Linked DNA regions of Drosophila melanogaster. The protein of the gene in region 3 interacts with the protein of the main gene of each other region in a pairwise test. Each region holds a gene or a part of one and is shown on either strand. Other genes may lie near its edges.

What was found. Proteins that work in one complex are often made in the same cells at the same time.
Region 1: the proteins of pyd (region 3) and Nedd4 interact in a two-hybrid assay, tested with the Drosophila melanogaster proteins (one study listed by BioGRID).
Region 2: the proteins of pyd (region 3) and Cortactin interact in a two-hybrid assay, tested with the Drosophila melanogaster proteins (one study listed by BioGRID).

The regions. Positions count from the first base shown.
Region 1 is NT_037436.4:17,528,350-17,533,925, reverse strand, and holds the start of Nedd4 (Nedd4), read right to left. Parts: upstream 3,846-5,576; 5' UTR 3,504-3,845; intron 3,118-3,503; 5' UTR 3,080-3,117; coding exon 2,891-3,079; intron 421-2,890; exon of another isoform or gene 278-420; intron 176-277; exon of another isoform or gene 77-175; intron 1-76. Other genes in the region: Edc3 (enhancer of decapping 3), read left to right, coding at 4,458-5,017, 5,306-5,576. UniProt on the Drosophila melanogaster protein: Essential E3 ubiquitin-protein ligase which accepts ubiquitin from an E2 ubiquitin-conjugating enzyme in the form of a thioester and then directly transfers the ubiquitin to targeted substrates.
Region 2 is NT_033777.3:21,060,335-21,066,194, forward strand, and holds Cortactin (cortactin), read right to left. Parts: upstream 4,138-5,860; 5' UTR 4,089-4,137; exon of another isoform or gene 4,030-4,088; 5' UTR 3,961-4,029; intron 3,778-3,960; exon of another isoform or gene 3,775-3,777; 5' UTR 3,731-3,774; coding exon 3,564-3,730; intron 3,496-3,563; coding exon 3,092-3,495; intron 3,001-3,091; coding exon 1,892-3,000; 3' UTR 1,346-1,891; downstream 1-1,345.
Region 3 is NT_033777.3:8,860,362-8,866,819, forward strand, and holds the start of pyd (polychaetoid), read right to left. Parts: upstream 3,988-6,458; 5' UTR 3,881-3,987; intron 3,173-3,880; exon of another isoform or gene 3,141-3,172; intron 2,645-3,140; exon of another isoform or gene 2,633-2,644; 5' UTR 2,422-2,632; coding exon 1,702-2,421; intron 1,592-1,701; exon of another isoform or gene 1,519-1,591; intron 1-1,518.

The DNA.
Region 1 (5,576 bases), on a different chromosome or scaffold from region 3:
AAATGCTTCTGCATTTGATGTGATTTCGAGATTTCTCGATTGTGCCGAGCGAGAACTGTTGCTTTACGGTACGTACGCTTATTTACTGCTTTTTTTTTTATATAATTAACACATTTCAGGGGTACTGTGCAATAAATTTATCTATATAATCCAGCGATTTGTGTGTGTGTGGCGGTACACTCTACAATATTTATAATTCAATTATTCACTTATTTATCTTTTATTAACGGCCCTAAACGATGGAAACAATAACAACAATAACAAACGGCACACCAACACTATTGCGAAAACATGTTCTGCGTAAATGTCTGCCTCTCTCGCTCGCTCCCGCAGCGAGTGTGTGTGCGGTCGTGGGTGCGAGCGCAACAGCAACAGCAACACTTGTCGGCAGCCGCAGCGCAAAACACGGAACTTGGCGCTTTCGCGTTCTAAGCTAAAATGAAGGCAGCTCCACTGAAAAGTGTGGCCAGCGCGTTCGGGCCAAGAGGTTGCCCCATTGCGGAGCTTTCATTGGGTCTAGTGTGACCGATGGAACGGAGTAAATTATTTACCTCATGGTCGGCTTCTCCGGGAAAAATTCTAATATTAATATATTAAAAAGCAAAATACGAAGTGGACTTGCAATACTCATGCATAGATATTTTAATGAATTGTCACAAAAAGTGCTCCAATTAACCATAAAAAGGAAAGTTTTTAATCTTAAAAAAAAAATACCAAAACAGTACTGAACACATTTTTCAACACTGAAGCCCCAGCTACAAGCTGTTGGCTGAAAGCTTTTTAAAATGACAGCTTAGCCCTGTACTCTTTTTGTCTTCCTCTCGCGTTTTCTCACTCCCACTGTTGACAGCTGCCATCGAACAAGTGTCTTTAAGCAAAACAAAACAAAAACAGCTGATCGGCTGCGCCGTGCGTTGATGTGAGTGGACTATCTATGTGTGCGTGCGTATCTGTGTGAAATTTGTATTTTGGGCTGGGAATCCCTCCAATTCCATTAATAATGTTCAGCTAAATAGCGTATAATCACTTATAATAGACATGAGAATGTTCTGACTGCTGACGCAATGGATTCAATGGATGTAATTGACCAGCTGTTGACTGATAAGCGGCCCATTAAGGCTATCCGCTAAGGCAATTGTGACGTCGACTGTTCTTACAAGTGCGTCGATTGGCCGACGTCACCGCTTGCCGGCTGACGTGCAAATTGGATTAAATAACCCAAATAACAGAGCTCAATTAGCGGGGGCATACAACTTTTGCGGCAAAAAAAGCACTAATGAAGATAAGCCATTCATTCATACACCTCCCACTTTTTGGACAGGAATTTCGAGCCATTCTGACAACGCTTCAATGAGTTCGACAAACAGAATTGAAGTGCCGTCAAATAATCGCTCATTGAGTGAAAGCAAACAGAGCAAACAACCAACACTGGGATACTAAAAAAGAAAGTAAAAGAAACACAAAACAAAATGTCAGTTCATAATACGTTTAGAAACTATGAATAATATAATTCTGCGAGTTCTGTTAGAAATTAAAATACTTTTATAAACCATTAAACATAGCCTAGGTATTAAAAGTTAAAACAATATTTTTCTCTCTGTGCAGCCAGAAAACCATAAAGTGTAGACACACAACATTCAAGAGGCGGCGGCCAAGAATTGTGTTGATAAATTAAATTAGCTTCGAAGATGCCGATGACTGCTCAAGTGGCTAGCATCTTTGGCAAATTAAGATAAATAAATTAGTTTAGTTTCCGTTCGGCCTGAGATGGCGAGCGAATTATTTGTTTATACAAGTGAGCAAAACAATAGAAAAGCCCATTCCAGACACTAAGTAAACAACGATGATGCCAGTTTATTTTCTGGCGGCTTCCTAATACTTTTCTTGGCACTTTTCTGCTCTTCGGAAAGTGCAAGTCAAGAAATGTTATTCGATTTTAAAAAATCCGCAAAAAAGCTACTTTTTCTTTAACATTATAAAGTAATTGGTACAAGCAAACAATGACTAAACGATAAAATGTAATGTGCTGTATTAAAGGCCCTCCTAAAAAAAGACTTATGGAAGTCACTCCTGAAATACAACTACATCTAACTTAATGGTTGACGAAATGCAACGACCTTTACACCGTAAAAGCTAGGTATTGGATAAGAACAGTTCGTAAGTTTTTCGTGCTTTTCGGCTTCTGAAGGAATTGTAGATCCCCTACTTTTCCCACCATACATATATCCCACTTTATCATCCATGAGGGGAGTGAAATCTACATGGCCCATCTACACGACTCAGCTGTTTGGCAATCTGCAGATTAGATTAGTAGTGAAAACATCGTAAAAATGGAAACACTAAATACAGCGGAGGCACTGATAAGGGCGACCAAATCCCCCAGCACCACCCGTTGATAAATACTTTTCAAATCTTCACACCAACAAAATGGTGGATACATTGTGGGCAATTCCTTATAAAAGGTTATAGGAATTGGTTGGCTTAGTTTTGATAAGACAACATTTCGGTATGCCCTTTAAAATGAGATACATTTATTGATTAGTCAGTTTGCAACGAAACCAAAACAATTGATAAGAGTATCTTATAAGATGTCATAGTAAGTAATACCTTACTATCTATTAAAAATTGATAAACATATAGGTGCCACGGTCACTATTTGGTGTTATGATAACTTAATTTGATACATACGCGTTTATATAACCCATAATTAGTTAACTGGCTTTATCAAAAATGGAATGAAATTTTTCAATCAGAGTTGGATGCGTTGTGAAATAAGGTTGTAACCATAAGGTGCTCCTACAAAATTCCTAAGATGTTAGAAGAGTTCCTAAGTTGTCCTTCAAGGTAAAGCTCTCTCTTTTCGTCGTCACCTGCACTTATGTAAACTTACCACTGCTGCCAACGATCTGCGAGGAGTGTAACCATTTCCAAATTCCTGGCGCGTTTGCTGTTGTCCCGCAACAGAGGCCGCTCGCCGGCGGGGCGGCGGGCGTGGCACGTCGCCGCCGGCCACCGAGGAAGAAGACGACGGGACGGGAAGGGCCGCCGCGGCCACCAAGCCGCTGGAACGTGCCGACATTGTTGTGTTGTTGTTGTTTGTTTCTTTTAGAGAAGCTTCTGCAATGAAAGAATGACGGAAGGAGAGAGGGTGAATATGTGCAAAGCGGAAGTGCAAATTAAGCGATAAATGACACGAAGAAGAAGAAGAGGAGGCTGCCATAAGGTAACAAGAGGGGGAAGGGTGTACAGAAGCGAAGGAAAGAAAAGCGAACAGACAACAAAGACAGCAAACAAAGTGAACAACGGTACTTGTGCTAGATGCCATCTCTGTCTGCCGCCCTGCCCCCGTGCAAGCGTGTTTCTAGTGTGTGTGTTGTGTGAATGAGGTGTGGGTGATAGAGCACAAAAGCCAAACATTTTCTTGATAATTAGCCAGGCGCGAAGCCATGTCTTTGTAGACCATTTATGGTTAGCATAAAGTTTCGCCCAAGTTTTCCACTTACGTTTACACACGCACAAACACGGGCCACTATATTTTCGCCCGATTTATGTATATATTTTGCGGTGGTATGCGTGTGGGCTCGCCTTTATCCACTATTTGCGGAAAATCATCACGTACTTCTATCACACGGCAAATTCTACACTGCTCACTATTCAAGCGATTATCACTTTGACCGCTTCGGCGGCGCACATGCCTTAATCGCCGATATCGGTCGGCTATAGGTGCCTGTATATATGTCGCACGCGCAGTATTAAATAAAATTTAAACACCGGACGGGAAAAATGCACAAAACGGCGACAAAATCGAGAACAAAACTGCCAGAGTGACCGTGTACGCGCACTGAGAACATACCACAGCACCCAGAAGCCTTAACAGTTAAGGGAAGCACTTGTTAAATTCATAAAATGGCTCGCAGGCTTTTATTGAACCAAATATTTATCAAAATAAGGTGAAGTTTCCGTAAAGCATGAAATTTGTAGTTATTATAAATATGTATATTATTATAAATTTATTAAGTAAACTAATTTGCCACGCAGCTAGTTTGGGTATTGTTCGGTATTATCTGAACACCAACGAACGGCCACACGCAAGCAGTGAAAATCCCAATGAAACGAGAAATCCAATAAGTTTTAGCGTCAATGTGTTGCAACGGTTGGTGCATTTATTGATTAAAAGAGACAAAATACCGAACCCCTTGACCGCAGAGCCAAATAATTCAAAAACACCCGACTTTAAGCCACAAAACACTAGAATCAACGGCGGTGCAGCAGCAGGAAGAAGAGGAAGAGAGGTGCGTGGTGCGTAGTTAGTTAGTGGCGAAATTGCGTATTAGAAACGAAAACAACAAGCAGCTCTGCGCGGGCCAGCAAACATTTCGAACAACCATTAGCCAGGGCAGAACAAGCCGATCCAACGTGTTGTCGCATTCGCAAAGGGAGTATCGAAAACTGATTACATGGGTCCGACGGATCAAGACTGGATCGGCTGTGCAGTGTCTATAGCCTGCGACGAGGTCCTGGGCGTCTTCCAGGGCCTGATCAAGCAGATTTCTGCCGAGGAGATCACCATTGTGAGGGCTTTCCGCAATGGCGTGCCGCTGCGAAAGCAGAACGCCGAGGTGGTCCTCAAGTGCACGGACATTCGCAGCATCGATCTCATCGAGCCCGCAAAGCAAGATCTGGATGGGCACACGGCGCCGCCGCCAGTGGTCAACAAGCCCACGCCCGTCAAGCTGCCCCACTTCTCCAACATCCTGGGCAAGCAGCAGCAGCTCCAACTCCAGCAGCAGCAGCAGCAGCTACAACTCCAGCAGCAACAGAAACAGCAGTTCCAGGAGCAGGAACGAGAACAGGATCTGCCATCGACGCCGCGGTCAAGGGCCAACGACAATGGACGGGTAGCGGCTGGCGGAGCATCGAGTTCTTCGGGCCCACGTGGCAACTTCAATTCGGCGCTAAGCGATAAGATGCATCAGCTGAAGCTAATCGAGACCAACGGCTCAAATGGCACCCTTAGGTAATATGGCCCATTAAACGATTGTGCAATGCCAATAATTTAAATTAATTGTTAGCTCTTTATAAAAAAAAAAAGTATGAAGATTTTTGCAGTCAGCACGATTGTGTTTATTTCATTTCATTTTGAAGCCATCTTTATGTTTAAACTTACCAACCTTGAGATACGAAATGAGTAAATTACCTTTATTACTGATAAAAAGCAACAGTCGTTTCAGATAGGTCTTGTGCCAACTGAGCGTCGTATTTAAAATAGGTTTCATCTAACTTTTATATTTGTTTCGTCATCCAGAACACCACAAACATCCCGTGCGTCCAGCGCTCAGCAGCAGCCGCAGATATCAACGACTCCCAACAGCGTGGCCGCCTTTTTTGGCAACATGATACCGCCGAAGGTCGAGGTGAAACTGGGCTCCTACGTGAGCAACACCCGGGAGAGTTACTGCAGCAGCAGCGGAGATAGCGGCGAGGCAACTGGTTTGTCGTTGGGCAGCAGCAAACCCATAGATATCGTCAGCAACGGAGATGGATTTTACAAGCAGACGGCAGCCTCGAGCTATGGG
Region 2 (5,860 bases), about 12 Mb from region 3:
CGGCACTTGTGGCAGCTTATAAATGCATTTTCCTGCTTTTCTCGCGGAGCAATTTACGAAATTTACGAATTCCGTGACGTTGTACGGCCGAAACAAGAGTGGTGATGGTCGCAGTAAACGAAGCAGAGAAATGACGAAGAAGCGGACGGTTTGGCTGCCAATTGCTGACTTAGTTAACGACAATTGACGAGCGTGCAGGCAATTTGTGCTCAGCCGTGAGCGCAGCTCTTTGTTTATTAATTTTCCTCACAATATTTGAGATTCTGCCACCAGCTGCTTTCTTTTGCACGCACACTCACTCGCCTCTCACATGCACACTGTCTTTTCGTCTGTGCCCAATGTGGCAACCTGCGGCCACTCTCTCTTCTTTGACTTGCCGAAATCTGGCAACACTCGACAAGAGTACTAACCTTATCGGCCAAACTGAAGTTTTAACTCTGAGCCCACGCGATCGAGTGACTGACTATAGCATTTTGCGGTAGCCCCTATTTATTCAAAATATCTCTCTCTCGCGTCGGCAAGTGAGAAAAAGAAAGACAGAAAGAGAGAGAGAGAGAGTGTGTGCGTGGGAGAAAGACCACTGCTTTTTTTTGAGGGGAGATTTTTTGATAAGGCCTGAGATTTGGATTTTTGAAGGCCCCAGAAATACCGCCTAAGATTTGAACATGCATTTGAAATACCGGTTTGTACATCGACCGCAGGTTACCGTTAGAAATGTTATGCGGGATACATAGTTAAGTTGCATACCCTTTGAGTTACAATCACTAGTTAATAATATCTACGTTATTACCAACACGCACACTTTATCGTAATACCTCCTTGAAGTTTAATTTATACATCAACTTTATCAGTCAAAACTTTGATTTCGTCTGACACTTTTTTCGATTACGATCCGTCGCCAATAATTGCGATAAATCTTATCAAGTCTTTTTGGGATTGGCGCTCAAATTTACAATATGGCCGTACATCCTACTTATGTATGTTTTTTAACTAATTAATCACCACAATGCAAAGTACTCTTTCTTTGTTGAGCCCATATGCACTCACATTTGCACCATGAATCATGTCAGTAGCTCGTTTCATGTAACAATTTCTACTTTGCCAGATTACGATGCGTTCGGAACAGGCAGATAAGAATTCGGCCCATCCAAGAAAGGCCTTGACAGTTCTACCCCAAAATAGAGATATCCTCGTGATATTAGAAGGAACCCAACAATATGCTCGTTCTTATCTTCTTATAGAAATTTGTGAATTCCCGTATCCAATGAAATCATTTTACTTAGTAAAATGATTTGTTAGGCCTTAAAAAAAAACAAAAACACCCGAACTATCAGTACCACAATTTAAGAGAGAACTCGTTATTATTTAACTTTATTAATTATGTATTTCTTTATCAAAAGAGCAGACTTTTTGTTTGTGACTGTCTTCAACATTAGATCCGTCTTTAACATTAGATCAGATCACCTGACACGGGAAACTCTCGTAGACTTTATACAATTCAAAAAAACCAAAATCGTTACTTGACACAAATATCATAACTAATGCATAAAATATGAAATGAGAGATATCTAAAATAGCTTGGCATATTTTCTTGGTAAAATAAATGTGTTAAATACAAAGAATGTAAAATGCAATAAATGATACATATATCAAAAATGGAATACCACGGTTACTTTAAGTGCTAGCATAACAAATTACAATAATAATTCAATATCTAGCCATTCGTTGCACATAATTTGGAGGGTTAAGAGGGTAAACAATGGATGGGAAATGGGCTGGGTTAGTTGCGAATTGGTTTATATGGTTTATAATCCAACATCAGTATTATCGTTTTCGTTAGTATGTAAATACAATTTGATTTTGTTCTATCGTGAATTTCAATTGGAAGCTTTTATGAGTTCTGTCCCACCACCTGCACGTAGTTGGCTGGAAAGAGTCCGTAGCGGTTCTTGCACAATCCCCTCCACCACCCATCGTCGATCTTCTCGATGTGGGTGATCACGTCATCTGGATCAAAGGATATCTCGTCGTCATCCGCCGCCTGGTAGTCGTACAGGGCAATGGCGTGGATTCCGGTGTCCTCCAGATAGTCGGCCAAATTGTCTGAGTTCGCGTAGATTGCCTCCTCGGGAACGGTTGCGGTGCCACTCGGAGCAACAGCCTCTGAAACGGTTCCATTCGTTGGTGGCAAGGGCGAGGCAGCCTTAATCTCGGCCTGGTTCTGGTACAGTGGCTCTTCTTCAACTACTGGCTCAGGATCGGCTTGAGGTTGCGGCTCAGGTTGGACTTGGACTTGGGCGTGGACTTCGGGTTGAGGCGTCGGCACATACACTGGTGATTGCGGCTCACTTCTGGGAGGCGTGTCCACGGTCTCAACCTCAATTTGGGGCACCACATCTGGTGGTGGAGCTGCAGCCTTGGCCACTGGAGCTGTTTCCGGCTCTCGAGCGGGGACCACTGTCGGAGTAGGAGCAACCGCAGCTGATGTTGTACTTGCCGTTGGCTCCTCCTTTGCTTCTAATTCTATTTTAACAGGCTGCGCCTTGGGAATGATAATGGGTTCCTTTCGTGCTGGAGGGGTTTCAGAAACAGGCGACTGCATCTGGTTAAATGCACTGATAGCATTGCCAATGCCACCGGTCCGACCTGTCTGGATGGCCGCCCTGCTGCCCTTTGGAGGCGGTGCTTCCGTCGAGGTACGAGGAGTGTTCTCGGCCACAGTCTTCTTGGCGGCTTCCTCCCGATCCCGCTTGTCCTTGGCCTCACGGAGACGTTTCTGTTCCTCGGCCCGCTTACGTGACTCCTCCTCGGAGTTTTTAGCCAGATTCTCGAACTTGGCACGCAAATTGGAAGGCTTGGCACCTTCGATGACTGGCTTGACCTTGTGGTCCACCTGGCTGGCGTGCTTCTGCGGAGCCTCTTTGTGGTCCCATCCCACCGCGGACTTGTCCTTTCGGTCCTCCTGAACGCCAAACTTGCCGCCAAAGCCCTTGGAGTAATCTTATGTTGGGAGAAGATATAAATAAAATAATCAGACATGAACATACTAAGAAAAAATCAATGAGAAATTCATTTCCGTTAGGTAACTTACCCTTCTGAGACTCGTGCTTCTCCACCTTCTCGATGTGATCCCAGCCCACGGCGGATTTATCCACCCGATCGGACTGCACTCCAAATTTGCCTCCGAAGCCGGTGGCGTAATCCTTCTGGGAGGCGTGCTTCTCGACCTTTTCGACGTGGTCCCAGCCCACGGCAGACTTGTCCTTGCGATCCTCTTGCACTCCGAACTTTCCCCCAAAACCATCGCTGTAGTCCTTCTGCGAGGCGTGCTTTCCCACCTTGCCCTGGTAGTCATGACCCACAGCCGACTTGTCCATGCGGTCCTTCTCAACGCCAAACTTGCCCCCGTATCCGTATCCTGCGTTCTGATCCTTCAGCAGCTGCTTCTTCTTGTCCAGATCGGCCTGCTCCGTCTCCTCGCGCAGCTTGTCCATGCTAAAAAGAATAAAGAAAGGGAACAATGAACCCGATACCCAGTGTTTCGAGAATTTCGGATGACTCACTCGATGGTGCCTGCTGTGCGACCGCTGCCGTCGATCGTCTTTGATCCCCAGCGCTGCTCCTGCTCACTGACATCGTTCACGAAGTCCGGATCCGTCTCCCAGTCGTCGTCCTCCGCGGAGGCTGCACTGGTGGCCTGAATCTGGTGACCGGCACTTGCCTTCCACATTCTTTTTACCGGTTTCTGGTCGCTGGTTACTCGCTTATCCTTATCTGCTGGGTAGATAGATAAACACCATGACGAGTGTGAGTAGTCGGGGCAGGTTTTCAGTTGCAGGGGCTCCGCTTCCGATTCGTGGCCCAGATAACAAGTCACAAAACACCGAAGAAGGGAGGGGCCGACAAAGCCGGATCGGGAACAAGATGCCACTGGCGCTCTATGTTCATATGTATACTCACATCCCGATGACTAACTCCTACTGCAAGAGGAACTTATGATCTGATGCCGCTAGGGATGTCTGCAAATTTCTGGGAGGAGAAGGGTTAAACAATTGATTCATAAAGAGACCAACAAACGGGAAACTAACTGAACTAAATTTCATTCGATACAATGGATGCATCGATATGCTACGAAAAGCCGATAAATTATTGTGATGAGCTTGACAAAAGGTAGTTGCTGCAGTTTTAGGGGCGCCCAATTTAAATGATTAAGAGATACAGTCGTGGTTCTTTTACTTTATTCGATAAGTCAATGCACCGATATATACTGCAGTACCAATATATGTGATCGTGATCAATAGAACTGAGTGCTCGGGCAAAAGGTATTTGATGTTATACCAAGTGGCGCCATAGTAATTTGTATAATTAATAAGATTCTGCCAGAACGGTAATTAACAGGTATAAGAGTTGACTTTTTTCATATAACCGCAAACATATCATCGATATATCGATAGTTTTGGATTTGAATTTGCTTCGATGTCGGCTGACAATTAACGTAATTGGTTTTTATATATAGTTATAAAAATACAAATAAAAATAGTTATAAAACGGCTTAGGAAGGAACAGGATATTTATTTAACTGTATTGCCCTAACGGCTGAATATTGAAGTCAAAGGTTACATTTTGAAATTCAATGCGTAATCAGATCTTATTTTCCCAATGTCGTCATTATCACAACGGAAATATCATGAATGTCTCAACAGCTTCCAATGCCGATGATTCATCCATCTCGGAACACTTTAGATTCTACGGTGTATACTATGACGACGCAGAAGATACCAGCTTCCAGTTAGGCGCTACCACCGAATATTTCCTAGCAACAACAACCTATCGCCGGTTGGTTCATCTCTAATCGACTTCCAGCGAGAGAGCGCGAGTATAAAAGCCAAAGACGGAGCGCAAACAGCTATGGTATTTATTCACATCGCTTGCAGTTCGCATCGTCTGACTTGTACGTTGAAAATCGAATATCATTGGTAAATCAAAAGGAATTTGTAGATAAAACTCATTGTTTACTCTCGCTGTGCCAGAAATCGCAAAAAATCAAGCGGAAAATCAGTCGGAAAAGTGAGAAAAGAAAGTGTGTGCTAAACACTCAAAGATAATTTTCATTTGTGCCATTCCAAAATGGGCATTTTGTAGAATTCTAGTTGTGGGTGCGGTATCGCGAGAATTCTCCAGAATCTTGTTTCTCTATTTACTTTATATTTCAATAATAAAAGCCTCGGGTGGGAGAAAAATTCAAAACCGAAAGATGACATCATCAAACTCAAAAGCAAAAGCCCCACTCTTTTGGCGTTTTCTCTCGCGACGCGTGTGACTTTTCTCATCTCCGACGAAATCTAAGTAAACTTTTCTGTTCCTTTCTTGCTTTCCCATTTTACGTAGGAATGAGAAGCGGAATTTTTCGAAATATCTCTATCCCCCAGTGCCCTGCTTAATTTAGTAATTCAATCAACTTCAATTGCCCGACAGGCACTTCAAACTACAGTAAGCACTGTGTATGAGCGCCTGTGCCTTGCTCAGCATTACTCACCGGAATCGGATGTGGCCACATTCCACCGTCCACAAAATATAGTAGTAGTGTACTCGAGGCCGTGCAATTATAGTAGAATAGGTGTGTCATCAAGGTTTATTACTAAGTGAATTGCTCAGTGCATTTGCAAAACATTTTTGAAACATTTCGAGGTACAGTCCATCGAGGTCTCCAAAAGAAGTTGGCAAAAGCTTTTGTTTATGGAGTTTTTCACACATGGTCACGAGCTATTCCAGTTTTTACACCTATATTATAATATCTCTTTTTTAAAGTCGTGCTCAGAGCTTAAAATTGACGTCACAAATCTGGTGAATCACTGAGTGC
Region 3 (6,458 bases):
ACGAGCCACTGCAGCCAAAGGGGAAGTCCCCGTCCAGACTTGAGCTGCATCGCAATTGTTTTTTCTTTTTGTTTACTTTGCATATGAAAGTCACACTGAAGTCATTTTCCCCCAGAATTTGGCTTAAATGTCTTAACCCATTCGACCCGAGTCTAAAGCAAGAATTTAAAGAGATAAATTTATGTTCATTTCGCTTGGGTTTCCAACAGCAATTTATTTTTTTTCATCCGAGTTCTAAATGGATTTATACACACGTCGGAAGTTGAGTCATGGGCGGAGGCGAAGTACATTGGGTTTGTGTGGATTGAAAATTGTTTATGAACCAAAAATTACTTAAATTTTGTATTCAATTTTCTATCTACATAAAATTATAAAATATTTTATGATTTTTTTGTTAGCTTTTCAACTATTTTGTAAGTACTCTTCTTAATAACATTCGCCCACCGTTTTGACCATGTTTAAAGGCACAATCAACGAAACCAATTTCTCAAACTCAAGTGCTCCTCAGAGCCCGAATCTGGATTCGAAACAGAAGCGCATAAATTGTGCCCCAGGCGAATGTGGAATTAAGCTAAAACAAAAACTATATACATATATATATATCCACTAATGACGATAGCGTAAACGAAACAGAAAAACAAAAGAATAAAATCAAACCGACAAAAAAAGTCTATATCGTCATGGAAGCCTGAGCAGCAGCGGCTAAAAATGCATAAAATGGTCAGCAAAAGAAAAAGGGCCTGAAATGAAAGAGGTAAAAGGAACCGCAGCCGAGCTTTGACTTTGAAACTTTTTGAGAAATTGAAAGGCCGCAGTGAATATCATTTTGGGGGCAGGTGTGTTCGAGGATGCCAAATTAGCAGCTACCGTCTGACCACCAGCTCTCCCCTTCCTTTCATCTCCATTTCGCCTTTGCCAATCTCTCACCTCGTTTATTTCTTCATCCCATTTCCATTAATGGCCCCAAGCGAAATTTTGAACATCATTAATTTTAATTTTTGCGCAGACGCACCCCAGGGGCGGTAGGCTTCACTGCCTCCATTCTGGACACTGCAGACAAGCCACGAGTGATGACTGATGATGACCTGGCGGAACGAGCCACACTACCTCCATACATACATCCACGAATGTAATTAAGGTGGCCAAATGGAAAAAAAAGGTGCCACAGCGACAATTGAAAGTGTTGCAACGCGAGTTGACAAATTTCGATGTTGCCCAAGAGCAATGCAATGCGGTGATTGATGGCTGAGGTGGTGGTATTCAATGGCGTAAAGAATTTTAATATTAGGAAATCAAGGAATTTCCCTTAAATATATATATTCTATCTGAGGGGTAAAATAACCAACTTTAAGTCCTGTCATAAAGATTTTTATATTTACTGTTTTTAACGTAGAGTTCTAGATTTATAATCTCAAATGAGGTATTCGGATAAAAAACGATTTAGCAACTGTTAACGGTGAACTAAATTATTTGTAAAGCCCGTCTTTATGTTAGTCATATTTTTCAGAGTTGCCAACTGACCGTGTGGCCTAATGGATAAGGCGTCGGACTTCGGATCCGAAGATTGCAGGTTCGAGTCCTGTCACGGTCGTAAAATTAACTTTTTTCTTTTGTATCCAGAATTTTTTTTATTTATTTTATGAAAATGAGATTTGAGGGCATTTGGTTGCATTTATCACACTTTGTAAGTCTGTATCTCACCTTCTTGAAGCGCCTTCGCTGCGATGAGGAGTGCGTCGATGCAGTTTCGAGCAGATTGCTGTTGTTATCCCCCCCATCCCTTTTGCCCAGTGCCTGGAGAAGATCGTCAACGTTGCGTATATAGGGGCGATCTCGATCCCCGCCGCGTTCCCTTTCCTTTTCGCCACCCCCTCCACCGCCGCCCATGCAGCTGGTTATGCTCCGATTGCCCACACTATTGCTACGCGATCGGGATCTGGTCTTTTGCTTGCCCAGCCAGTAAACCTGATTTGCCAAATTTATTTCGGCGGCTGCCGCAGCCTTTCTTCTGCCCAATTGTTGTTGCTCCTGCACCTGTTGATGCTGCTGCTGCTGTTGTTGCTGCTGCTGCTGTTGTTCACTGGCCAGATATTCGCCGGCTATATGAACCTTGGGTGCACTAACCAACTGCAGGCCAGTGGCGCCGAATTGCTGAGGGAATTCGTGCAACTCGAGGGGGAAACGGGGATCCATGGTCTGACCCGGTTGACGCGGGTACATATAGCCATCGCGTAGAAACATCTTGCTGGTGGTATAGACCCTATCCGCGATTTGGTACACTCCACTCGAGCCGGGACCCTCGGCGCCGCCAATAATTCCATTTCGGACATAGGCTGTCGGGCGATAGCGAACGAGTGGGTTATATACATTCGATTTGGGGGGTTTCGTTTTGAAACTGCGACGTCGCGTGCTGGGCTTCATATTTTTGTTGTATTTAATTTTCGTTTTTGTTCGTTTGTATTTGCACCCCGCGATAACAGAATGTTTGCTCTACAGAAAATCCACCCTTGTGCTGTAGGTTGCTTGCACACGTATCAAATGTTTTCGAGTTTAAGCGTGCTTGGAACAAGCGACCGTGTGGCCTAATGGATAAGGCGTCGGACTTCGGATCCGAAGATTGCAGGTTCGAGTCCTGTCACGGTCGAAACCAAAGTATTATTTTTTTTTTGTGAGAAACTTATGTTTTGTTCTTTAAAAAATTCAATTTGTTGCAAACTAAAACCATAAAATAAATCAACAAAAACAACAAAAATTTTAAGGTTCACTTGGCTAATTTTACATAAAATCTACACTGTCTTTAGACTGACGATAGAATGTTTTATGATTACATGTAAAATTAGATCACGCAAAATTATATTTTTTTCCTTTGGAAATATATAAAAAAAAAAAAAATAAAACCAGATTAGTGTTTCAAGGGTGTTGAGTTAATTTAGAGACTTTTTGTTCTTTTTCAAATGTAATTTTCGACCGCGTAAAAGTATGCTATAGATATGGTTGAATTATTTTTCATGGCGTTCTTGTTTAACAGCGCACAAAAGCAGGCAACATTTGTGTTTTTAAAAACGCCTGAGAGAGGCCAATAAAAAAGAGATAAACCCTATAAACTATATTGAAAATAACCGATTTTTTAAGGGTTTTACGCGACCAACACGTTCGGCACACTGCACGTTCGATTTTCCACTGCAATTGTTTGATTTTATTGCAACAACTTTTTCTGCTTTTCTGTTGTTTGCTGGAAGGCACGCACTGCCAATCCAATTAGCCGGGGTTCACCTTTCGAGCCGTCGTCTTTGCGCAAGGTAAATTGTTTTTCGAACCCAAAGTATTGACACAGTTTGCGAGTCACTTGTTTTGTTAGACACATTCGTCTTCCTGAACTGTCAACCGAGCTGTCATATGGATGAGACAGAATGGAGAATAGAGAGAAAGAGAGCCATGCTAATCTGTCAACTCTGAGTTCGTTAATTAAAGACTGATTTGGCAAATAATTGTGGCTTAGCCCTGATCGACCCCAATACCAATTTACAAGCTCAAAACATTGCAAAAACTCAAAGGTACCCCGATTGGGTCAATGAATGTGCGGTCTATTGAACTTTTGATAGTATTATTGACGCCCCTTTTTCACTTAATGATTGCGAATTGAGTTCAGCCGTCGGAAAATACTTTCAAGGTTATCTTACAGGGATCATAAATATAATATCCAAATTTATAGTTAAAAACTAAGTGGAAAAGATGTGGCCAAATATAAATCCCTCTGTCTAAGTGCACATTTTTCTTGTTTAATATATTCAAATTTTCCCTTTCTTTTATCACTTCTGTCACTCCACTTAATTCAATGGCCCTTCTCAGTTTCAATCTGTCAACTTCCTATTATTTCCACCTTATCTGTTTGAGGTTTGTCTTTCTAACACTTCCGCCTACGAAAATCGTTTATTTTTGGTGTGGATTTCTTTTCGTTTCAATCGCGACGAGGCTCAAATACGAACTAAACTGAAATGAATTCAATGAATTTGAAGAGCCTATCGGACACGAGAACATTTTCCAATGGATAGCGTTTCCAGCCGGAGAAGAATACAAGAACAAAAGTGATTGCGATAAAGCTTGGACTGAGCTGAGCAGAGCCCAAGTGAAATGAGACGAAATGAGGGGCTTAAGCCAAACAAATACACCCCTTAAAAGCGTAAATTGTGAAATGGGGCAGATGTTTGGGGGAAAAAACCAAGAATGAAAAGGTTTGAACGATGAACCTCGAGCTATTTTAAAACCACACCCAAATATTTAATACATATCAATCAAGTTCTATGATGTTATGACAAAAAATGGTTTGAGAAACTCTATTTTGTTTTAAGAGGCTCCAAAAGATTTTTATGTTTCTAATTCCATGGAAATACGTATATTTTCTTTGCATAAATCATTGTACTTACAAAGAATTCATCTTCGATGACGGGATCGGCCAGCATCTCAATGGCCTCCGTCATGGATCTGCAGGTGCGATTCGTGTTCTTCTTCTTCTTGAGCTTCCGGCCCAAGGTGGCGGCATCGCTGAAGCGATGAAGCAGTTTGTCCCTCTTCCGGACCGCCAGCGGACTGGTCGTCGAACTGGCGTGACATAACAGCGATCCGTAGCCATTCGTAGAGGATATGGTGCCAGTATTAGCGTAGAAATTCTGCGGTTGATATTGCGCCGGAGCAGTGAGTGTGCTGTTCGAGTCGATTTTCTGTATGAGATTGTACTCGGATTGGGGATATTTGCTGGCCAAATGCGATACAGAATCCGCTTTGGAACCCAATTGCGGCTTGGGTGGCGGCGGTGGCGGTGGATCCTTCATCAAGGCCACCCGACGGGGGGCGGCGCGGGGTATGGTGGCCGAATGGGGGGAGGAGGTGGCGTCACCGCCATAACTAACAGCGCGACGATTGCGATCGTTTTCCTTTTCCCTGAAAGGAAATTTAAATTTAATTTATTAGAATTTTCAATGTATGTTTTACTTGATAATAATAGAACTAAATATGTTTTAAGTACTAAACACAATGTAAATCTACCTATAACGCCTCCTCTGCATCGGTGGACTAAAGAAGAAGTTGGGCGACAGGGGTACAAAGTAACCCCATTGGGGATCTCGATTCGGTCCCTCATGATACATGCCCAACTGGGGCGTCATCTCCCTGGATCGACTGGATCTGAGAATGGGCATGGAAACCCTCTGTGGTCCGAAACTTCTATTAGAGCGATACCGATTCCTATACATATGACGCTCCAGTGAAGATGTGGTGGTCGTAGCATCCGATTCCAGGGTGCAATCCGAATGATCCTTGTTCTCCAGGGTCACATTACTGCCCAGCTCATCGTCATTATCATCATCATCATCCGTGGAACACTCGGGCACCGTATAGCAGGCATAGTCGAATTGCGACATTGTAGAATCGTTTTTCTTATGTCTTTATTTGTTTGGCTTTTCGTTTGCACACACATTTAGTTCTTTGTCATTGTGTCTTTGCGACTCCCACGTAAAATGTTTCAATTATTTAATTAGTCTGCAACTTGTTGCTGTTTTTTATTTGAGTGCTTTACTTTTATTTTTACCTGACAAATGTTAAATGACATTTTCAGTTGGTCTGGCACTTAATTGCTCCACTAGAGTTTGGTCATGTCTTGGATATTTTCTGGTGGCAAAAGAACATTATTTAAGGCATTTATCATGTTCACCCTCTGGACAATTGTGCTTCCCGCCAGAAAAAAATTTCAGGGGTTGTGTATGTCCAGTGGGCACAATTAAAAGTCGTTTTCGGCCTCTGTTGAAAAGTTCGCCTAATGAGGTGTTGAACGGAAGACGTTCTAGTTATGATACTTAACTTGGCCACGACTTTTTACAGACAATTTACTACGGTCCGAAACACAAAAGAAATCAGTGGGAAAGCTAAAAGGGCATTTAACCGAAAGTATTTCATAATTGTTAAGTAAAATGTTCTTTTAGGAATCTTATTGTTAATTTACTATATCTGTATGTATGCACGAAAGGCAAATTTAACTTTGCGGCCTGGCTAGCTAGTAAATTTGCAGACTAAACGTTCATTATTCATTAATGGGGTGAAAAAGGAAAGTGTCAACAGTGAAATCCATCAACATTGCAATTAAAATGTCAAACAAGGAAGTGACTGAGTGGCAGACTCCCGTTTAACCCGCACTTCCTATATACCAAACCAACCCCCCACTAAAAAACGAACTCCACATTATACAGAAACTCTCTATAAAGAGGCTCCATCCATCCATAATGATGATGCAAAAAGTGATCCCCGAGGGGAAAATGTGTAACTGGAGAGTCCAATTGCAGAATTCACAGACAACGACACTCCGGATATGAAGATTACAACGGATTTGGGTTGCCACTCCCGCTGTTGTTTATATTTATTTTATTGTTGCAATTATTTTCCTCTTTACAGCATAGAATTGCATATTA